2 linked regions of the Schizosaccharomyces pombe genome follow. The protein of the gene in region 2 purifies or fractionates together with the protein of the main gene of each other region. This does not show direct contact. Each region holds a gene or a part of one and is shown on either strand. Other genes may lie near its edges. The genes, in order: dhp1 and pdc2.

Region 1 (7,508 bases), on a different chromosome or scaffold from region 2:
TATTTGAAAGAGTAGGGAGAAGCATTTTTACTTTTTGCATCAAATCATCTTTTATGTTCATTTTTCCAATCGAATTCATTCTTTCTTTTTACCATCTATTTCAATATCTATTCAGGTGTCATTTCATTTCGGATTTCCGTGAATTCCATGATTTGAAGCGCAACGAATTTGAATGGAGAGCTTATTAATCTCCACAGCTTTACTCTTATTCGGATCATGTGTTAATTCTATAATTTATTATTGCAATTTATTTTGGTTGTTTGCTAAACAACGTAATTTACTCATTATTTTCTTGGTCATCTTTTGGTTTTCGAACTTTCTTTTCCTCTTTATTTTCATTATACTCTTAATCTTTTTTCTTTCAATACAAAATTTTTTGACTAAGGATACAGCTATTCTTTCTTTAAATACGCATTCAAATGCGATTTTTAGGCTCTTCTCGATTGATGGATCTTATGCATGCCATAAGTTCATTTGTTATTGAACAAGATCAATATTCAATATACGTGAAATTAACATGTATGCCAAACAGTTCATTCGAGCTATTATAACATTTATTTTCTTCTTTTGCGAAACGAAGACGCTTAAGATTTTATTTTTCAACACATTCGGAACAACTGAATATCTATAGTAATTGAATCCCCTTTTTCTAAAAATGACAGACGATATTATCATTACCTATAAACTAGTTGACACAGTAATAAATATCATTCTTTTGTAACTTGTAGATAAACAAAAACAATTTTTTTGGTCTTGCCTTCCGTAACATTCAAACAACGATTTCTATTTGTGTAGTTGCTGCTTGAATGTAAATCCCTTTTTCTTCTTTAGATTTACAATAGATTGAAAACTAGTTTGATGTCGACATTCTTCTTATCAAAGACATGGAAGTTTGATCACCTTGCTAAATTTCTTTTTGATAACAAGGTGTAATTTGGATTGGAGGATTTCGCTAGCCACGTGCTTAATAAGTTACATTGAGATTTCAGGAATATAATATTTTGGAGCTCAAAATTATCGCAAGCTAGATATTCTGAGACTAGCCTACAAATCAGGACATCTTCCCTCGTATCTTTGCTTTCTACTCATTCCTCTTCCTTCACCTAAAATTTCAAGTCGGTGATTGTTTATATGAACAGTAAATTTTTTGGACTCGTTCAAAAAGGCACAAGATCCTTTTTTCCTTCATTAAATTTTTGCTATACAAGGAACATCATGTCTGTCTCAGCTTCATCTCTGGTTCCTAAAGATTTTCGTGCTTTTCGTATTGGCTTGGTTCAGCTTGCCAATACCAAAGACAAGAGCGAAAATTTACAACTCGCTCGTTTAAAAGTATTGGAAGCCGCTAAAAACGGTTCTAATGTCATTGTATTACCAGAAATTTTCAATTCACCATATGGTACTGGTTACTTTAATCAGTATGCTGAACCTATAGAGGAATCATCTCCTTCTTACCAAGCTTTATCCTCTATGGCAAAGGTTTGTTAATTTAATTTTCGTTGATTATGTGAGACTAACGGTACTGTAGGATACTAAGACTTACTTATTTGGCGGTTCTATTCCTGAACGCAAGGATGGCAAATTATACAACACTGCAATGGTGTTTGATCCTTCTGGAAAATTGATAGCCGTTCATCGGAAAATTCATTTATTCGATATTGACATTCCTGGTGGAGTTAGCTTCCGCGAATCTGATAGTCTTTCACCTGGCGACGCCATGACTATGGTTGACACTGAATACGGGAAGTTTGGTTTGGGTATTTGTTACGATATACGATTTCCGGAACTCGCTATGATAGCAGCTAGAAATGGCTGTAGTGTGATGATTTACCCTGGAGCATTTAATTTGTCCACAGGCCCTTTACATTGGGAACTACTTGCACGAGCCCGAGCAGTTGATAATGAGATGTTCGTTGCTTGCTGTGCCCCTGCTAGAGATATGAACGCTGACTATCATTCATGGGGACATTCTACTGTTGTAGACCCTTTCGGAAAAGTTATTGCTACTACTGATGAAAAACCGTCTATCGTTTACGCAGATATTGATCCCTCTGTCATGTCTACCGCTCGAAACAGCGTTCCTATCTATACTCAACGCCGCTTTGATGTTTATTCAGAAGTATTACCTGCTCTTAAGAAAGAGGAATAGATCGGTATAGTTGTTGAGTATAATTTTATGTTATCAACATGCATTTTGTAACTGAATTGCATAACTAATTATGCAATGTGCCAATGAAATTCAAATAATCAGATATATTATTTATCTCCAATATCCCAAACCCGCTTTCAAAATTGTACTAAGAAAACTTAAATGTATTAATAGTAGCCATTCCTGTTATTATTGTTATAGGATTCTCGCTGATAGCCGTAACCCTTTCCGCGATTACTACTATAGTGGTTACCAGCTGGCGGTCCATTCGAATAACCACCACCTCTCGAGCGCCCGCCGTATCCTTCGTGGCCGCCGCGAGAGTTATAGCTTGCATTAGAACGAGGAAAATTGCCATTACCAGACCAAGGAGGTTGAACTCCACCGTTTGCAAAACCATTAGTAACTCCAGTGTAGCTCTGTCGACTACTGTAACTTTGCGATTGGTAAGAGCGTCGGACACCATAACTTTGGTGTCCTCCACGATACGAATTACCATTGTTTCGGCGGGAAGAAAAGCTCCTCTCTGCACGTACTTGGTTGATATCTTCTGGGGTTAACACCCTGTTCGGCATTTTCACTCCCCTTAAAAGCATGGATTTATGTACGAAATGCGATTTAGGTACTTCAAACACAAGACTTATAGATTGATTATCATCTATGCTTCCATACTTCTGAAGGGCGTCAGCGGATGTAACATCAATTGGGCATTGAACGGATACATTGGGAATTACGGAATCATTGGTGTTAACTTTGCCAAACAATCCATGTGCCATCTTTCCGGATAACTTAAGTGGTTTACCTTGACGTTTCTTGGAGTAAAGTTGTTTGACAAGTTCGCTAAACATTGGATGATGTTCAGAAATAAATAATAAAGTAGAACCATCCTCATTTCTTTTTGACTCTTCCTCGGTAAGTTGAGGATAGATTTTTGATACAGCATTCAAAAGCCGATTTTCATCTATAAATGGTAAAAGAGCAACTCCCTGCCATTCAAATTTTTTCCCGTTTAAATCAATAGTAAAATTTTCCGGGTAAAAGTCAATAATTTCAGAGTTTTCATCAGTCATAAGAGTTTGCAATTTTTCAGGTAAATTATTTTTACTAGCAGCAGGTAAAACGCCTAGTAATTGTTCGTAAGGCTTGAAGGGTTGATTTAGTTCAAATTTTACATCTATGGAGGCCAAATCTTTGAAATCAGCGGCAAAAGGAGCATAATGATATGGATAATACCAGGTCCAAGATGGACAGCCTTGATAATAATACAAAAGAACCCAGCACAATCCATGAACATAATGTTTAACAGCTTCACGAATTTTTTCTGGTTCATCGGGTGAAATGTGGAATTTTTGTTCATAATACCGTTCGCGGTATCCAGGCTCATACAGGCGGACTGTATCAGTATTTTCATTTTCTTCAGTCGAATCTGGGGCCTTTCTCTTCTGACCCACATTTGAAACTTTTGTGTCTATTGGATGTACAACAGGGGTACTAGATTCAATACTATCGGTATCTTCATATGCACTGGATGAAGCTATGCTGTCTTCCAAAGGAACATTTTGTAGTGTCTCATTTGAAACCAACTGAGCTTTCAATGCAGAGGCCGCCAATTTGTTAACTGAAGAAACAGCAGCTGCTTCCCTAGAAAGTCCAAGACGGTTAGCAGCGCGATTATTAATTAATTCTCTATTAGTAGCGCCTAGAGATCGATTTGAAGTTTTTTCAGACAAATTAACCAAATCCACTGGAGCCGGAGCGTCAATTTTTTGAGTTTTCTTTGGCGGTTTAGTATCAACAGAAGTTGATTTAGAAGAGGTAACAACTTCTGTCGATTGCGTCTCAACTGAACGCTGAATTACGACGTTGTCAACATAAGATTCTGATTCCTGATTTGACTCGCGTTGTTGACGGCGTCTATAGTTTTCGTTACGACGATCTTCTTGCTGTTTAAGACGCTTAAAAATATCATCTTCCTGGTTACCTACAGCACTCAGAATGACTTCAGCACGAGCTAAATTAACAGAACCATCCAAAGTAAGATAACCACCCATGTGCGGAAGACTAGCTCGCCATATTTCAGTCAACCGCTCTACGGCACCATCACGAATATCTAAACTAGGCAAATGAGGAAGAAAATCATTACCCACAAAAAAGATAAAGAAGACCCAGTCGTCAATCGCACGTTCTAAGTCAAATGGAAAAGGTAAATTGGGGACATAAAGTTCCACTTCTAGATACTCCCTCAAAATGCTAACGTTGAGCCATATAAATGGTTTTTTTACAGGAACCTTATTGGTCTCAGAAACATCATCAAGTCTCTTGATGCCAAGACGCTCTTCCTTTGTCTTTTTAGTACTTCCTTGTTGAAAGAAGACATCTTCACGCAATACACGAAAATGGGGTTCATGAGTAGCCAAACCAAGCATAATTAGGTCTGCATCTAAACCGTAAACAACGTGGTGTGTATTTGGATCATACTCTGGTTTCACTCGTTGAGATCGAATAAATTCCATGATCTTATGCTCACCTTCACCAGGAACCGAGGCGTCAGAAAGTATAAATCTGACATTTCTCCAGCACGGATCACTATTTAGTTTATTTATTATGTAGTAACGAAGAGACTTGGCCAAAGTGTCCATGAAAGGTGTGCCGGGGGTAATGCAATTACTGTCCCAAGATTTTTTCTTCGTAGCGTTTTCGTCGATGGGAATTCCCTGTTGTTTTGCCTCCTCAATGAAGGCTTGTAATTCTTCTTCTTTGAGAGCTGCTTCACGAGAAGAACGAAAACGACGTGATCTCTGCTGATTCATTTTGGCTCTAGGAGCCACGCCATCGATTGCAATGAACAATAACTGACGAGGACGAACCATGGCAAGAATACGATCCGTGTATTCAAAGACAGCAACCATCATCTCGTCTTCAGTCTCTGGAGCGGGGCGATCTTCAGGATGGGAACAAGGATGAACAATACCATTCATATCCAAATACAAGTTGTCGCATTCCACTCCGTTTGGATTGGGAAGACTTAAATCTGGTTCAATTTCAGTACCATCTGGAAGCTTTTCAGTAGGAGCCTCAATAACAGGTGTAATGACCTTTGCGAATTTCCTCGACAAAAGGCGGAAAAGTGCTGGAACACCCATTTTTTGGTGTAAAGGAGAAAATACTCAATCGAATAAATCTTCTCCAAACCAAATGCTTCAAAAAAGCCCAAATTGGTAAATTTTAGATACTAAAGACTACGAGTGTAGTATAAGTTGAAGATTTAATATTTAGGTATTTTAATCTAGATCTAGCGTAGTCTCCGCAGTCCTACCTAAATTTTTTAACGCACATTGGAGTAAATTGGAAATTACTAACGTACTCGCTATACAATAGTTAAAATCTAGTCTCTTAAGTGTAAGCTACGCAGTTTGGTATCTGATTTAAGGATACGTAGAACTGCGGTGAGTTTTCCTTGTGATCTATTATATTACAATACACAGGTTGTATAAGTAGCAACTGAGTATAGGTATTGTATTAACTGGGTTATAATGTTACCTATCACTAATATAGCTCATAACTGAACTGAGGAACGAGGTTCAGCAGTAGCTCTATTTATAGTATTCAGATAATATTGATCTTAATAGATTATCATTAAGATCAATCTCCATATCGTATCATACATGGTACGATATATAATTAGAACATGTGACATATAGTGATACTCAACGTAGTGTATTATAGCGTAGTGTAGTATTGCTGACATTGCCCTCCCCAAGATTTTCTATGTAAATCTGAGGATAAGTCATATGTTCTCAGATATTTAGATTATTGTTTTTAATATAATCATTGACAATTGCTTTGTCCGCTTGTAGCGCTGTAGCTAATGTAGTCCATCCTGACATAATAGTACTCGGATTTAGATTCGAAATGTACTTGACATTTAAGTAGAGTACTTGTTCTCTGTTTTTATGTTCTAGGATATGAAGAATTGTTCCAATATCAGACTCATCAATGGTAGCGTAATTGAGTTCTGAATTATGTCGATACTTTTCTAGGTGAGAAACATGAAAAGTAGATGAAAACATGTGCTTGATTGAATCTGGAAGATCCAATTCATAGTTGTTTGGACCCGACTTCTGTAACACATAGAACGGTCCTGCAAAACTAGGTGCTAATTTATTGGATTTATGAAGAAAACCTGTTTTCGTTCTTTTGACCATAACTAGGTCTCCAGGTTGAAATTCTTCAATTTCTTGTATTTTCATATCGAAATACTTTTTCATCTTTATGTTGTTTGTATTCAAGTGTTCTTTAACTGTTTGAAATACTTGGATCGTTTCCTGAGAGTTTTCGTCAGTTTTGTCACTAAAGCTAGGTAACTCTAAAGGTGATAAAGCTGGTGAATAGCGATGTACTATCTCAAAAGGTGTCATTTGAGTTGCTGAATGTATCGCATTGTTGTAAGATTGTTGCACTAGGGATATATGATCTACCCATGTATTTGGATGTGTGCTACATACACATCTTAGTAATTTCTCCACAGTTTGGTTTGTACGCTCAGTTTGTCCATCAGTTTGTGGTCTGTATGGTAACGAAAATTTCATAACGAAATTATATTTATGTGCGAAATCTTTCCACGTTTGGGAAGTAAAAATATGATCATTATCTGCAATGATTTCTTTTGGATTGCCGAAATAAGCAATAACTCGTTGATCAAACATTCGAGCTGTTTGCTCTGCTGTAATGGATTTCGTACAAGGTACTAAGATTGCCATTTTTGAAAATCGGTCAACTACCACGAAAAGTGCATTATAACCAGATGATTCTGGTAAAGCTGTAATAAAATCCATTGATAAAGATTCCCAAGGTCTTTCTGATGGGGGAATTGGTTGTAAAGGTCCATAAGGTTTATGATTCCTAGATTTGTTTATTTGACATGTATGGCAGTTCTGTACATATTCTTGTATTTGTTTTCTTATTCCTTTCCACGTAAATCTACGTAATATAATGTTTGTAAGAAGTTCAATGCCTGGATGAATCAATTTACCTTCTTCATGATACTTTTTAATAATTGTCCTAGTCAGCTGAGTATCATTAGGTAATAAGATTTGGTCTTTACTGTTAATTAGTAAGCCATCTTTGAGTTGGATATTCTCTTCCACTCGTTTGTCTTCATTGTTTAGTAAATTCAACAATTTTGTATCATTCGTATATTCTGTAACCACTTGGTTTTTAAAATCATCGGTTATCGAGATTTGATTAACAAAGTTGATACTATTGTCTTCTGAATCTTTTGGAATTGGTTCTGTTTCGTCAACAATTCTGGATAAGGCATCAGCTATGTGATTTGCTGATCCAGGTCTGTAGTTAATTT
Region 2 (5,310 bases):
TGAGTTTCCTGATAATGCTCGAAAGCGTGCACTGAAATATTTAAACCAAAGCAATTCTGTTTCCTCTTCTGAACCCATCATCACCAAATTTAATATTCCAATCACGCTTAAAGACTTGCATACTCTGCGGAATAGACAATGGTTAAATGACGAGGTAATTAATTTTTACATGAATTTGATTTCGGAACGCTCTAAAATTGATTCATCCTTACCTCGGGTACATGGGTTTAATACTTTTTTTTATACATCTTTGCAGCGCCGTGGATACGCGGGTGTTCGAAGATGGGCCAAAAAGGCACGCGTTAATATTGCAGATATGGATGCTGTATTTATACCAGTACATCTGGATGTCCACTGGTGTATGGCTGTTATTAACAAATCGAAGAAACGATTTGAATACTGGGACTCGCTGGCCGGAAGCCCTGGTAAAGTTTTTGATTTGTTGCGCGACTATTATATTGCAGAAACAAAAGGTGCCGTCGACGTGTCAGATTGGGAAAATTTTATGGATGACAATTCTCCAAGACAACGAAATGGACATGATTGTGGAGTTTTTGCTTGTAAAACTGCTGAATGTGTATCTAGAAATGTTCCTGTTCAGTTTAGTCAAAATGATATGCCTGAACTACGAATCAAAATGGCAGCTAGTATTATTGATGCACAAATCTATTAAATATGTGCTATAAACTTTTTGTCTATATACTTATCGTTTTTTATATTAATTTCTTTCTCGTTCAATACATTTTATTTCATATTCAGCGTTTTCAAAAAGGACATAATTTACTTAAATCTATATTAGAGCGTATGCATTTTTTAAGTAGCAGGGAATACTCTAATTAATAAATCTGAATCCAGGAATCTCAGCAAATATAGCTTTTGAAAAAAAAAATACCCGCATATCTTATAAACAAACTTAAGCGCTGAGCTGACGAGCGTCGAGCCCCATTGCATTTAAAAACAAATTAACATTGCTGATGCGCACAACAGCAATTTCAGAAGGTGCCCGTTTGCTAGTAATGATGTTATCAAGTACTCTGTCCCTATTTTTTACATATTTGTTAGTACAAAAACTCGACTAGACATATTTTAACGTACCTAGTTTCAGAAACCAATGTAAAATGTTGTTCAGAGCTAGCAGCAGTAGCACAAGCTGCTAAGAATTCCCATGGATAAGATTCATCAGCATAAGCTCGAGCGTTAGGTGGTGGGAATACCGTCGAGAAATGACCTTTTACGCGATTAAACATAACATTGAATGTATTTTCCCTAAATAGTTAGATGCTGTAAATACATGTATAACGTACCATTCTTCTTTTTCATTTTGATTTACAGTGCCAGATTGCTTTAAAATTTCTGCGCGACTAATGAATAGAGTAAGGAACGACAAACCAATCTTCGTCTGTATTAAATAAACAGCATTAGTGCGATTGAGAAGTTGAGAAAATAAGTTATTTATAGTTTCCAAATCAAGTTCATTAACAATAGTGAGCAATGGAGGGATGATGAACTGCGTGAAAGAACTCATTTCGGAAACAACGTCCAAAGGCAGCTCACCGTTAACGTCAAATGTTCCCCTAAGGACTATATCAAGAGAATCAAAATTGTAAACTACGACCTTTAAAATCGAAATTTGTTGCTCTTTGGACAAATGTGGGAACAAGCGAGGTAGCAGCCTCATTCCTTTGGGGTGAGAAATTATAGAAATGAATGGAGGCCTAGTCTTAGAAGATGCTTCCAATGATTCATTTATGTATAATGCCTTCCAAATGGACTCCAATTTCTCGCTTAAAGTAGTTTTCCATGTATCTATTTGCTCCTGATCGGTAGTTTCTAGCGTTGAGGCTTTACGGAGGGCTTGCTCAAAGTCAAGCAACAAGTCATAAACTTTCTCAATAGCGTGCAATACATCCTTCTTCGTAGAAAATCCAGAAAAATTGTTTAATGATGAATTTGAAGATGCTGGTTCGGTAGGACGTTTAACATTCAACAATTGTCGTGGTGTGCGAACAGTATTAACAGCAATTTTACCAAGAGCACCTTCTAAAGACAACTGAGTTGCCTTAGGGCGCTCTTTGGCAGAAGAAACCAAACGCTGAAGTTGCTGTTGTAATTTCTGCATAGGATTTTCGGAGCGACGACCACGACGGCGATTATTGCTAGGTCCTAGATAAGTCTGTATAAAATGACTGGCTTCTTCCTCGGAAGGCTTGCGGCCTCGAATAATTGAGTAAACGCGATAATAAAAATCATCAGATTCGGGATCCTCCGACATCAATTGCGATATTTGAATTCTCGCAATAAACGATTTATCACTGCGTGTCATTAACCCAGCACATTGAGCCATGAGCATATGATCACGCTCTAACTTTTGACGTTTTTCATCAAGGTTCTGGTTTTGAATTAATTGTTCCTGCTGGAAAAGATTAACAAGGGAAGCAGGAGGAGCAACACTTGGGTTGTACATGCCGTTTTGAGGATATGGCATTTGAGGTACAAGGGAAGGTTGCATAACAGGATTGGGTATAGCTTGCGAAGGATGTACCATATTAGGAGCAGCTAATCCAGCAAAATCAGTTGTAGTGCTAGGGATGTTTGGTTGACCAAAAGTAACATTACCAATACTAGCCGCACTAATCGCCGGGTCCAATGAAGAGATGTTTTCTCGAGTTACTTGAGCAGCCATTTCGGATGGAACAATGGGAATAGCGGGTTGAGAAGGTGGTTTTGGAGCGGTCATTGAGTTCAATAACTGTTCCTCCAACTCCTGCAAGCTAAAAACCTTCTCAGATGGTTGGGCACCCAAACGATCTTGAAGAGAGGCTACCTCAGGTGGAATAATAGCCGGCTTTTCTGGAACAATATTTTCCCAAATCGAAGCCATAGGCTGCAAATCGGAAAGCTTATTGATCGCAGTAGACGCAGGTTCCCGTGAAGGAAATTGTGAAGCACCATTAAGTCTACTAACTTGAGGTAACTCTGAAGAAGCTGGTTTGACAGGTTTAGCGAAAATATTTTGTTGATTAATTTGGTACTGCTCATCTTCCAATTGTGCAGATGCTTGAGCGGTAGTACCTGAAAAATCAAAATCACGTCCTAGAATTGTGAGAAAAAATATTAAAATATTAAATACTAATAGCTTGCAATATCCCAGATATGACAGCCGAGAATGATTACAGAATCACAAGCACAAAGGTACATACCTATACTTCCAGCGCTAACACCAAAAGTCTCGTCGTTTAGTTCATCTCCGGCTTCATTTAATTGATTACCCAAATCGTCGTAGGTCTCCTCAAAGTCAATGCTAAATATACTTGTGAGCTTAAAGTATCATATTTACATTAATATTAACGACTTACCCATCCTCTTCTAACTGCCCTTCGTTAGGAAACATATTTTCCTTTGGAAGGGTAGTATTAAACCCAAAAAATGACATTTTATGGGTTTATGGTAATGAGAAGTTGGTGGTAGCTAGGTGGGCGGCACTGCATACAACAATACTCATGACAGTAGATTGGGTTGGTTCGACGCAGACTGATTCATGGCGTTTTATATATATTTTTACTTTGCGTTCTTTTTTTATATCTGAATTTTAAAGTTGTTATTTGGTTTGCTATACCAGTAAATCTATCCCTATTTTATTTCACATCAATCTTCAAGACTAGCTATTAAAACCTATCACGTATAGATGTATATCATAAATATGAATTTAAATTTATCTCTTTTTGAAAGACTGAAATGTATCGAAATTTATGCATGAACATACATAAGTTGCTTGCTCAAGCAAGCTACATCAATCTGGCAATGCAGTATAGAAAAAAAGAAATATCTACTAAATTTAACTACTTTACATCATAAATTCAGTGACACTCAAATTGGTAAAAATTAATTTTAAATTATCGTAACATGTAGAGATAAAGGAAATTATTTGGAAGACGATGAATCATTCCAGATCAATTGATCAAATGCCTCCTGTTCGTGAGAAATAGGTTCATCCAACTGTTCAGAGCCTAGATTAGAAGTTCGGGAAGGAAATGCTTCAGAATTTTCTTGTCCACTAAAAGCACTATCTGTGGATTTAACACTCGAGTCTTCTTCGTAAAATGGAAAAGAATTGTTACCGGTATTTCGATTACGGTTACGAATAGCTTCCCATGCTGACGCTGGCTTTGATCGATCTTCAAAGCCATTGTCTTTAGAGTACATGGCGTCCTCTTTCTCCGTACTCTGTGAATTCGTAAAGGGATCTTGACTAGAAGAGGCACCAGTATTCGGCATACTTCCAGGTAATTGATATTTTGAGTTTTTTGGAGGGAATTCAGAAGATGAAGAAGGAAATCTGCCTTGTCGCATCGTTGTTCTTTGTCGAATAAGGGAGTCTTGTATTTTGCGAAGTATTTCAAAGCCATCATCTCTTTGACGTATAGCCGACAAATTGTATGCCAGAGTAGTAATCTGAGCAACCTATTCATAATTTGTAAGCTTGAGCTTAGTATTACTTAAAACTTACCCCATTTCCAGCAAGACCTCCTATAATTGATGTTGCATACAAGCGGATTGGAGTAACCTTTTTGTTACGAGCTAAAAAATAAGAAAGTTATTTTCAATTGCTTGTTCGAAATCTCATACCTAAGTATAATGGGAGAGAAAACCCGACTAGCATCCCAAAAATCGTATTTCTTTTGACACGGTATTTTGCATGATTTAGAAATTCCTTTTGGTCATCACTGAAATGGTTTTGAGGATCATTTAACATTCGTTCCCAAAAAAAATCCATGATAATAAACGTTGGAAGCGATTCCTGAGGCTACACAATAATGTCAAGAATATGAAACGTGCTTATACGGGTTATGTTAGCGAAATAAATGTAATTAAATTATTTGCGGACTGTACAATTTAACCCAATATATAAAAATTTGAGGCCTTTCTAATGTAAAAATACTACTACTAAAAGGTAATAGTACTCATCACTTGTTGCCTTATGGATAGTTTGGATACTGATGTAAGAGGATGTGAATAAGGAGAATCTCTAGGGATTAGGACCATCTAAATTTCCCAGCTACTACAGTGATACTTGGCATGAATAAGAAATACGTATCTGAATAAAAATTTGACACACAAGATTGTTCTGTTGAAATTTCTTATGAAACTGATAGACTGAATTTTTTTTGGCTGGTAAGCACTTGTGATGAAATATGCAACTTTTTCGAACTACGTTTTACATTCCATCTTTCAATGAAACAGACCTTGGTGGCATCAATTCGTGGTATACGATTGTTTTGAATTTTAATATTGCAAGCATATATGTTCAAC

Evidence for each region.
Region 1: the proteins of pdc2 (region 2) and dhp1 purify together in Schizosaccharomyces pombe (affinity purification with western blotting, with the first as the bait; one study listed by BioGRID). This does not show direct contact.

What each region holds. Positions count from the first base shown.
Region 1 is NC_003424.3:3,355,601-3,363,108, forward strand, and holds dhp1 (5'-3' exoribonuclease Dhp1), read right to left. Parts: upstream 5,404-7,508; 5' UTR 5,293-5,403; coding exon 2,317-5,292; 3' UTR 2,150-2,316; coding exon of another isoform or gene 1,529-2,149; 3' UTR 1,480-1,528; coding exon of another isoform or gene 1,132-1,479; 3' UTR 544-1,131; downstream 1-543. Other genes in the region: cnt6 (centaurin ADOP ribosylation factor GTPase-activating protein), read left to right, coding at 1-15; SPOM_SPAC26A3.11 (mitochondrial omega-amidase), read left to right, coding at 1,132-1,479, 1,529-2,149; Tf2-4 (retrotransposable element/transposon Tf2-type), read right to left, coding at 5,947-7,508. UniProt on the Schizosaccharomyces pombe protein: Possesses 5'->3' exoribonuclease activity. Required for the processing of nuclear mRNA and rRNA precursors. May promote the termination of transcription by RNA polymerase II. Essential for vegetative cell growth and chromosome segregation.
Region 2 is NC_003423.3:2,368,151-2,373,460, forward strand, and holds pdc2 (topoisomerase II-associated deadenylation-dependent mRNA-decapping factor), read right to left. Parts: upstream 3,464-5,310; 5' UTR 3,434-3,463; coding exon 3,357-3,433; exon of another isoform or gene 3,302-3,356; coding exon 3,201-3,301; exon of another isoform or gene 3,094-3,200; coding exon 1,305-3,093; intron 1,267-1,304; coding exon 1,096-1,266; intron 1,044-1,095; exon of another isoform or gene 1,041-1,043; coding exon 914-1,040; 3' UTR 685-913; downstream 1-684. Other genes in the region: SUMO deconjugating enzyme Ulp1, read left to right, coding at 1-673; SPOM_SPBC19G7.18C (uncharacterized protein), read right to left, coding at 3,922-4,461, 4,508-4,578, 4,627-4,774. UniProt on the Schizosaccharomyces pombe protein: Activator of decapping that functions as a general and active mechanism of translational repression and required for P-body formation. Stabilizes the 3' terminus of mRNAs and modulates the rates of mRNA-decapping that occur following deadenylation.